Linked DNA regions of Canis lupus familiaris. The protein of the gene in region 1 interacts with the protein of each later gene in a biochemical or structural test. Links are inferred from orthologs where the notes say so. Each region holds a gene or a part of one and is shown on either strand. Other genes may lie near its edges.

Region 1 (4,131 bases):
TGCATCTTGTCTCAGGCATGTTACATGGCCTTCTAAATGCCCCTGTGTTCATGAGCACTTTTCATTTTGAATGACCTAAATTCCCAGTATACTTCTCTCCTTAGCTTTTACTCCCAGGCTTTAGGTGGTCTATTTAGGTACCAATGGTAACCTTCGTCCCCAGGCAGTTGCAGGTTGTTTATTTACCTTACAGTATTTTCAGGCAATGTCTGCCGCTTTTCTGCTGGTTAAGCAAAAGAGAGATAAGCCTTGCGTTAGTCCTTCAGCTGGCTTCCAGGAAGATTAGAACAGATGAAAACAATGATTTCCAGGGACTAGAGCTCCATCCTAGGAAGGTGGGCTGCGGTGGCCAAGTCATAGATAGAGTAGGGCAGGGATAAATGAAAGTATCATAAAGTTTTCTTGCCATTTTTAAGTTGTCTTATTTTATTTTACTTTATTTTTTGGATTGAACATTTACTTGGTTGACTGTTTTCCAGAATTCTGACAAAGTTGGTCTGACAGTTGCTGGTTATTTTTTAAAGTTTCCATGGAGGTATGGGGGTTTAGAGCTGTCAGTTCTGCCATTTTGATGATATCCCTCTCCTCACAATTTTGATACATTGTATCTTCAATATTTATATACATGTATACTTTTTAGATATTCATATTCATATATACATATATATATGAAAAAATGTGTACTTTTGTATTGAAGTAATTATAGATTCACAGGAGATTGCAAAGAAATGTATAGGGAAGTCACATGCATCCTTTCCCCAGTCTCCCTGGAAGTTAATATTTTGTGGAACTAAAGTGTAATATCAAAACCATGAAATTGACATTGGTAGGAACCACCCTTTCCCCCCATCCCTAATTCCTTGACAACCACTAGTCTATTCTCTATCTCTGTATTTATGTTATTTCATTAATGTTACATAATAGACATCCTTTTGGGATTATTATTTTTTCAATCAGTATAATTTCCATGAAGTTTATCCAAGTTGTTGTGTGTTTTTGTTTTTGTTTTTAAATTGCTAAGTAGTATTCCATAAGATACCTGTATTGCAGTTTGTTTAGCCATTTACCCATTAAAGGAGATTTGGATAGTTTCTGGTTTGGGATTCTTATAAAGCTGCTATGAACATTCTTTTTTTTTTAATTTTTATTTATTTATGATAGTCACAGAGAGAGAGAGCGAGAGAGGCAGAGACATAGGCAGAGGGAGAAGCAGGCTCCATGCACTGGGAGCCCGACGTGGGATTCGATCCCGGGTCTCCAGGATCGCGCCCTGGGCCAAAGACAGGCGCCAAACCGCTGCACCACCCAAGGATCCCTGCTATGAACATTCTTGTACAATTCCCTTCATGGAAAGAAGTTTTTGTTTCTCCGGGATAAATGTCCAAGAGTTGTTGGGTTGTATGGTGAGTACCTTTTCAGTTTTCAAAGAACGGCCAAACTCTTTTCCAAAATGGCTATACCATTCCTACCACAAACTTGTGTGTGATCCCTATCTAAGAAAGCTACTTCTCACTCAAGGTTATAGAGACTTACCCCAAAGAGTTTTAAAGTTTTAACTCATATTTAGGTCTATGATTAATTCGAAGTTAATTTTTACATGTTGGTGGGACAATCATTTTAGGGCCCACAAAAATGTTTTAAATCCTTAAAATCAGAAGAAAAAAATAAGCATACTCTGCTTGGATTGCATTAGTCTTTACCAATACAAATGTAAAATGTAGTTTTAAAAATATATATATTAAAGAAACTCTGAGGTTCTGACACTAAATCTTTCCATACCAATTCTTCTAACACCAACTAAATATCCAATAATTCAGTTTTGACATCAACTCCAGGGATAAGTTGAGATCCCACAGGTTAAGGGCTCAGTTCCACAAGACTGCTCCTACTTCAGATACCAGTTGCCAGTCTCATGGGCCACTTGAACTTCTGACCTACCAAATTTGAGAATTCCTATAATTTCTGCTCAGTTTTGATTATCTATTAGAATGGACTCACAAAACTCAGGAAAACATTTTACTTACATTTACCACTTTATTATTATTATTATCATTATTATTTTAAAATATTTTATTTATTCATTTCAGACAGAGAGAGAACATGAGCAGGGGGAGAGACAGATGGAGAAGGAGAAGAAGGTTCCCCACTGAGCAGGGAGCCCAATACAGGACTCGATCCCAGGACCTTGAGATCATGACCTGAGCCAAAGGCAGATGCTTAATCATCTGAGCTACCCAGGTGCCCCCTACCAGTTTAATATATAGGAAATAACTCAGGAACAGCTAAGTGAAAGAGATTCATAGGGTAATGCATGAAGGGCGGGAATGCAGAGCTTCTCTGCTCTCTCTTGGCGCCCATTTCCTAGTACTTCCATGTATCTACTAACCTCCCTCTAATCACTTTAGTCTTTCTTTCTTTCTTTTTTTTTTTTTTTTGATTTTATTTATTTGAGAGAGAACATGAGCAGGGGGGAGGGGTAGAAGGAGAGGGAGAAGCAGACTCCCCACTGAGCAGGGAGCCTCATGTGAGATTTGATTCTAAGACTCTCAGATCATAACCTGAGCTGAAGGCAGATGCTTAACCGACTGAGCCACCCAGGTGCCCAATGTTTAGTCTTTCCAGTGACCAGCTCCCATCCATTTTTTTTTTTTTTTTTAAGATTTATTTAGTTATTGCAGTTCTGCTGTGAGGTCATTTTAGATAATACAGAATTGACAGGTGGTTTTGGAAACAGAGATTATTAATAATCTTGATAAGTGATCTCGATGAGAGAAGTCAAGGCTGGATCGGAGTGGGCTGAGAAGGGAATGTGGTAGGAGAAGGGAATGAGGAAAGGAGAACAATCACTGTTGGGAGATCTTGAAAAACCTGAGAATTTATGCACTGAAGAGGGAGAAATAGGGCAGTTCTGGAGGAGATTTTGGAGTCAAGGGAGGTTTGTTTTAGATGGGAGGAATTTCAGTATGTTTGTATCCTGATAGAAGTAATCTAATAGGGGAAAAAGTTATGATGCTGGAGGGCGAGGTGATTGTAGGAGTAAAGTTTTTAGGAATGTGGGAGGGAAAGGAATCCAGGTCACTGGTAGAGGGACTGGCATTCATAGGCGCAAGGACACTTCATTCATAGTAACCCAAATGTTACTATGTCTGTAATAATAGTTTTGATGGTGAGAAGATAAGGGAGTTCATGGCTGTTATATCTTTTAATTTTTTTCCATGAGGAATGAAGCAAAAATTGAGAGCAAAGAGTGGAGGTTGGGAAGCTTTCAGTAGCGAGGAAAAGGTGTGAAATAATTCATCACATCTGCTCAAACGTCAAAATATTGGAGAAAGCCCTCCCGGTATCAAGCACATCTCCTTCCAACCGCTTTTTTCTCCCTGGACCTTTTTAGCTCTTTTCCGGTACTCCTCACCATTTGTAATTGTATCTTTTATCGGTGCACTTGTCTGTTCCTCCAGTAGAGAGCTACATACAGGAGGGCGGGGACTCTTTTTTTTTTTTTTTTTTAAATTTCCCCGATGTATTCACAAAGAAACAGGACTGGTACATAATCAGTGAATCATCACTCGTTGAAACAGAGTTAAATGAACGAACGTCTATGAAATTTTGTCTCCGGGTCACCGCTGTCAAAGTGTTTGGGCCACTCACTTTTCCCCTTCCCTGAGCTCTCATTTCTGACTACGTAGGATGCCACGGGGATTGTAACGTCTCCTCTGCCCACCTCACCGCGCCGTCATGAGGAACATCTGAGCTAAGAAATCTGGAAATGCTTCATCCAGCGATCTGCAAACGTAACGGATTATTTTTAGCGCACGCGTGGCCTCACAGGTAGCAGGTGCTGAAAAGGACTCGCTGGCTGCGCCGGGGGGGAGGGGGGAGGCGGAGGAGGGGGGAGGCGAGGGGGCCGTTATGGTTTCTGGGACTGCAGGCATCCAAGCTTTGCAAGAAGGGTTCTGCAGGCCACGGAGAGGCGGGGCTCTGGCCCGCACCCCCCCCGCCCCCCCGCTCCGGCTTTCCCCGGAGGCGCTAGCCCGGCGAGGATGGGGGGCGGGGAGGTCCAGGGGGGAGTAACTGTCAAACCTCCTCGCTTGGCGCCTTTATTTAAATGGTACGTGCGGGTCTCGCTGCTGT
Region 2 (4,276 bases), on another chromosome or scaffold:
ATGGCTGGATGAGAGGGGCAAAGTTGATGGAGTTCTCCTTTTCTCCTCAGCCTGGGGTCCTGAACCTCCAAGTCACTCTGCCGTTGTAGAGGTTTTTGAAGTTTCATTCACCTTCTGGAAAGGCTCCCTTGCCCCTCTTCTCCGCGAGCCCCCCTGTCACTACAGTCTCATCACTTGCCTCCTCCTTTGCTTCCAGCTTCTTGGAGAAACTGGACCTCAGTTTAGGGGTCTTTTCCCTGCGGATTTTAAAGAAGCGGCCGACAGAAGGCTACTGCTTAAACAACCGGGCAGGGGCGCGGGGTTGGGGTCTGCAAGAGCAACCCCGCCTTCTCCTTCCACCACGTGCTCCTCAGTTGGGGTGCAGCACTCCTGGATGGGGTGCAGAGAGGGGCGGGGCCAGGGTGGAGGGCGATGGACCGTGCAGACTGAGAGGGGAGGAGGCCCCCGAAGGAGAGATCGTCTCCACCGAACATGAACGAGAGAAAAAAAAAAAAACTGGCCCACATGCCCCTAGTGGGGAGCGATACACCCCACGCGGGCTGGGTTTGGGGGTGGGGGGTGCGTAGGGCCCGCTCACCTGACTTCCTCCTCCCCTGGCACACACACTGCAATCGCCCGCTTCTCCCCCCCCCCCCCAAAAAAAAGCTCAGCCAAACAACGAACAACAAGAGGAAGCCGCAGGCGGCAAGAGGAGGGGTGCGCGTGGTGGGGGCCCGGGAGAGGTGAGGGGGCAGGGTCGGCGGGCGTCGAGAACCGCGCCGCGCACCCCTCCGCGCACTCCCGGGCGCCCACACTTACCCCCAGCGGCTGAGGGTCCGGTCTTCGGCGCCAATCCCGGCGCGCGCCTCTCGCCCGCCCTCGTCCCTCCGGCCCGCCGCCCCCCACACCCCGGCCGGCGCGCGGGGAGGGAGCCTGGGAGCCGAGCGCGGCGTTGGCGGCGGCGGCGGCGGCGGCGGCGGCGGCGGCGGCTCGGGCTCGGGCTCGGCTCGGCTCGGGCTCCAGCGCTCCGTGCAGCCGGCGGCCGCCGAGGCTCCTCCGCCGCCAGGGGGAGAAGCCGGGGCGGGCGCTGGGGAGGCGGGCCGGGCCCTCGCCGCCCCGCCGGCCAGCCCGCTCGCACCAGCTCGGGAGCGGCGGCGGCGCGGGGTCCGCCGAGCCCCGGGGCGCGGCGCGCGGGGCCGGAGCAGCCGCGGCTGGATGCGCGCCCCGGGGGGCTGCGGGCTCCCGCGGGGGGCGCCCCGGCCGCTCCGGTGCGCCTCCAGACTGCGGGCGCGGCGGCCGCCGAGCCGAGAGCAGCTCCCGCCGGCCCCTTCCCCCCCCCCCCCCCCCCCCCCCCCCCCCCCCCCCCCCCCCCGTTAACATCCCCTCCCTCCCCCTTCCTTCCCTCGGCCCCGCGCGCTCGCCAGCTCGCTCCTCGTCTCGCTCTCCCCTTTAAACGCCCACTTCGGATGGGGAAAGAAGACAACTTGAAGTCAAGTTGCAATTAACTTCCGCGGCAGCCGCAGCTCCGGCGGCGGCGGCACAGGAGGCAGAAGCCGCCGCCTCGGAAGTCCGACGCCGGCGCGCCCGCCCGGGGAGCTGCTCCGGGTCGCGGGCCCGCACTCGACAGCCACCGCCGCCCCCAGCGCCCATGCCTGAGTGAGTGCTGCTCCTTTGCCTCCCTTTCCACCCCCCCCCCCCCCGCGCCCCGTATTCTTGCTCTCGAATCTCTGTCTCTCTGTTTTCGGAATCGATCCAAACTTCTCGGTGGCGCCCACCCCCGGCGCCCCTTGCCGGGCTGCGCGGTGCCCTCCCGCCGACGTCTGGCGGCCGGGGTCCCCCGAGCCCCTTCCCTTCTCGCGTGCGCGGCCGGACCCCGGAGGGGCGGGCGGGGAGAGCGTGGGAGAGCACCCGGGACGGGGGGCTCGGAGATGCCATTCATTCCCTCTCAGGGTGTGGGCACCCTGACACACCTGCCCGACAGACCCAGGCTGGACAAACTCCCTCAGGTCCTCCGTATGACCGCTCTTCGGAGAGAAAAGGGGGAGCCGCAAAGAGCGAAGGAGGCCGACGGGAAAAGGGAGAGGAAGCCTCTCCGTGCGCCCCGGAGCTGGGTTGGCAGAGAGGTGCCCGGCAGAGTAGGCTGGGGGAGCGGGGACGGTCCCCGCCGATCGCAAGTGAGCTCAGCATCCTTCCCCGGTCCTTCTCCTTCCTCCTCCGCCCCCCGCCCGCGCGGCTGCCTGGGAGCGGCGGCCGAGAGGGGCCTAGGAAGTTGGTGGCAACTTCTCCATCCCGGGGACGCTCGGCGCCGGGCGCTCAAGTTGGAGCCGGGATTTTGAAAGCCGCGGCACTCCGCCTTGGAGTCCCCGCCGGAGGTAGTGAGGTGGGCCCGCAGGGGCTCCCGGAGCGACTGCAGGTTTGAAGGAGGGCTGGAAGGCAGGAAGAGGCGCTGCCCTCTGAGCGGGGCTGACACATCGCAGGTGCGGCCTCAGGGTCCGCACCGTGTCTCCCTCCTGCGGTCCCGACCCGAGCGTGGCGGCCTTCTCCGGGCGCTTCCCTGCGGAGGCTCCCGGGGCGGCGGCGCGTGGGTTTGGGCAACCACCGTAAGGGGGACGAAGCAGGCAGGTGGCAGGTGGCAGGTGCGGGGAGCCACACGCGCCCACCGGGGACATGCACCGGGCGTGACTCTTGGGATGACCCCCCAGAAGGAGGAGAGGATCTCAGGGCTTTTGCTGGAGATCTTGGCCCCGACCTCCTCTGGGGCGTTGCAAGTCTCACGTACTAGTGTCAACCACAGGATCGCCTCGTAAAAGTGCCCTGGTTGGCAGCTTTGACCTCTGCGCCCTTCCTCGGCGAACTTTCTCCGCGGCATTCCAGATTTCCAGGCAATTGTTGTAAGACTTGGACTCTACGTGGTTGTATCAGAGACAGGGAAAATTAAAAAAAAAAAAAAAAAAAAAGACGTCCTATTCTCAGGAGAGAACCGTTCTACCCGGACTGGCTGGGGTTCCCTGCTTGCATCCTTGGAGGCCAGGAGACCTGACTTTTCCAAGAGGAACAGAGGAGGGGTAAGAAACAAGTGAAAGGCGACTGGTAGGTGTCAGGTTTTGTCCTCAGCAGTCCCTAAAATCGACTTACTAAGGGAGTAACGCGTGCGATTGAAACTTTATTGAAATTTACACCCTATCTAAAGTGGATTTTTCTGAGGTGTCAGGAATGTAAGATTTATTCTATAGTAAAACGTAGCTGCAAAAGCAAACAACAACAACAACAACAACCGTACTTTAAGGCTGGAAAAAGCCAAGGTTTGAGGTGTTTGCTCTAAAAACCTTTAATCGGCTGTGGGGTACTAATGCTATGATTTAGCAGCAGTCCTTTATTTCTATTGCATATTATTTTAGTGGAACAGTAGTACATTCATATACTGGCTGCTCCAGTCTGCTGGCAAACATTAGCATTCAAGCTTACATTTTTGACAAATGTGCAGACAGGAATAGCATGAATAGGCATCTTAAATATTAACAACCTAAGCATCTGTTGTGAAACAAATTTAATATATTTACTCTGTTTTTCTCACATTGTTAGAAAAGGTTATAATAAGTGCATAATTTCAACTTTAGTTAGCAGAAGTAACTGGCTGTATCTTTCACTACCTCTCCAAGTGTTTAACACAGTCACCAGACATAAGTACTTTAATTAACTTGGTTAGGCACATTGTTAAATACACTTTAGACCTAGTGTATACTATGTAAAACGTAACAGTAGCAAAATACGTATCCTATTTGTGCACATTTTAAGTGACTCTGCATTTTATAAATGTAACAGGCATGTTTATTTTTCATCTCCATTTGACACTTATTACTTCATAGTTTTTCTAATGGAAACAATATTTTAAATGTAGAGCTGTTCAGTCATATGTAATACATAATATGTAAACAGTAGCCATAAAATACAAAGCATTGTTAAATTTAAGTATGGCTACATGTAACAAGATTATACAAGAGAAACAATCACTGTTCAATTTTGTATTCCTTTCTGAATAATGAGTACAAATGATGGGTGAAATAAGAACAGATAAGGATTTCCCTCCTAAAGTACTAACTAGTGCCTTAAAAATCTGTGTGGGGGTGGGGGTGGGGAGAGCAAGAGGGAGAGAAAGGGAAAAAAAGGGATAGAGAAAGAAGACCTAAAGAACTTTCAAAAGTCTGAATAGTTATTTCCAGAATCAATGCATTCCTCATTTTCCCACAAGCTGAAATATGTAATAAATAATAGTTCTTTGTATGTAAAAGTATTCACA

The links.
Region 2: the proteins of PIAS1 (region 1) and SATB1 form a complex in vitro, tested with the Homo sapiens proteins (2 studies listed by BioGRID, with this or other methods). The link is inferred for Canis lupus familiaris from reciprocal best matches to the Homo sapiens genes PIAS1 and SATB1.

What each region holds. Positions count from the first base shown.
Region 1 is NC_049251.1:32,546,814-32,550,944, forward strand, and holds the start of PIAS1 (E3 SUMO-protein ligase PIAS1), read left to right. Parts: upstream 1-1,331; 5' UTR 1,332-1,346; coding exon 1,347-1,403; intron 1,404-2,639; exon of another isoform or gene 2,640-3,783; intron 3,784-4,131. UniProt on the Homo sapiens protein: Functions as an E3-type small ubiquitin-like modifier (SUMO) ligase, stabilizing the interaction between UBE2I and the substrate, and as a SUMO-tethering factor. Catalyzes sumoylation of various proteins, such as CEBPB, MRE11, MTA1, PTK2 and PML.
Region 2 is NC_049244.1:25,106,344-25,110,619, forward strand, and holds the start of SATB1 (DNA-binding protein SATB1), read left to right. Parts: upstream 1-1,476; 5' UTR 1,477-1,635; intron 1,636-1,916; exon of another isoform or gene 1,917-3,044; intron 3,045-4,276. UniProt on the Homo sapiens protein: Crucial silencing factor contributing to the initiation of X inactivation mediated by Xist RNA that occurs during embryogenesis and in lymphoma.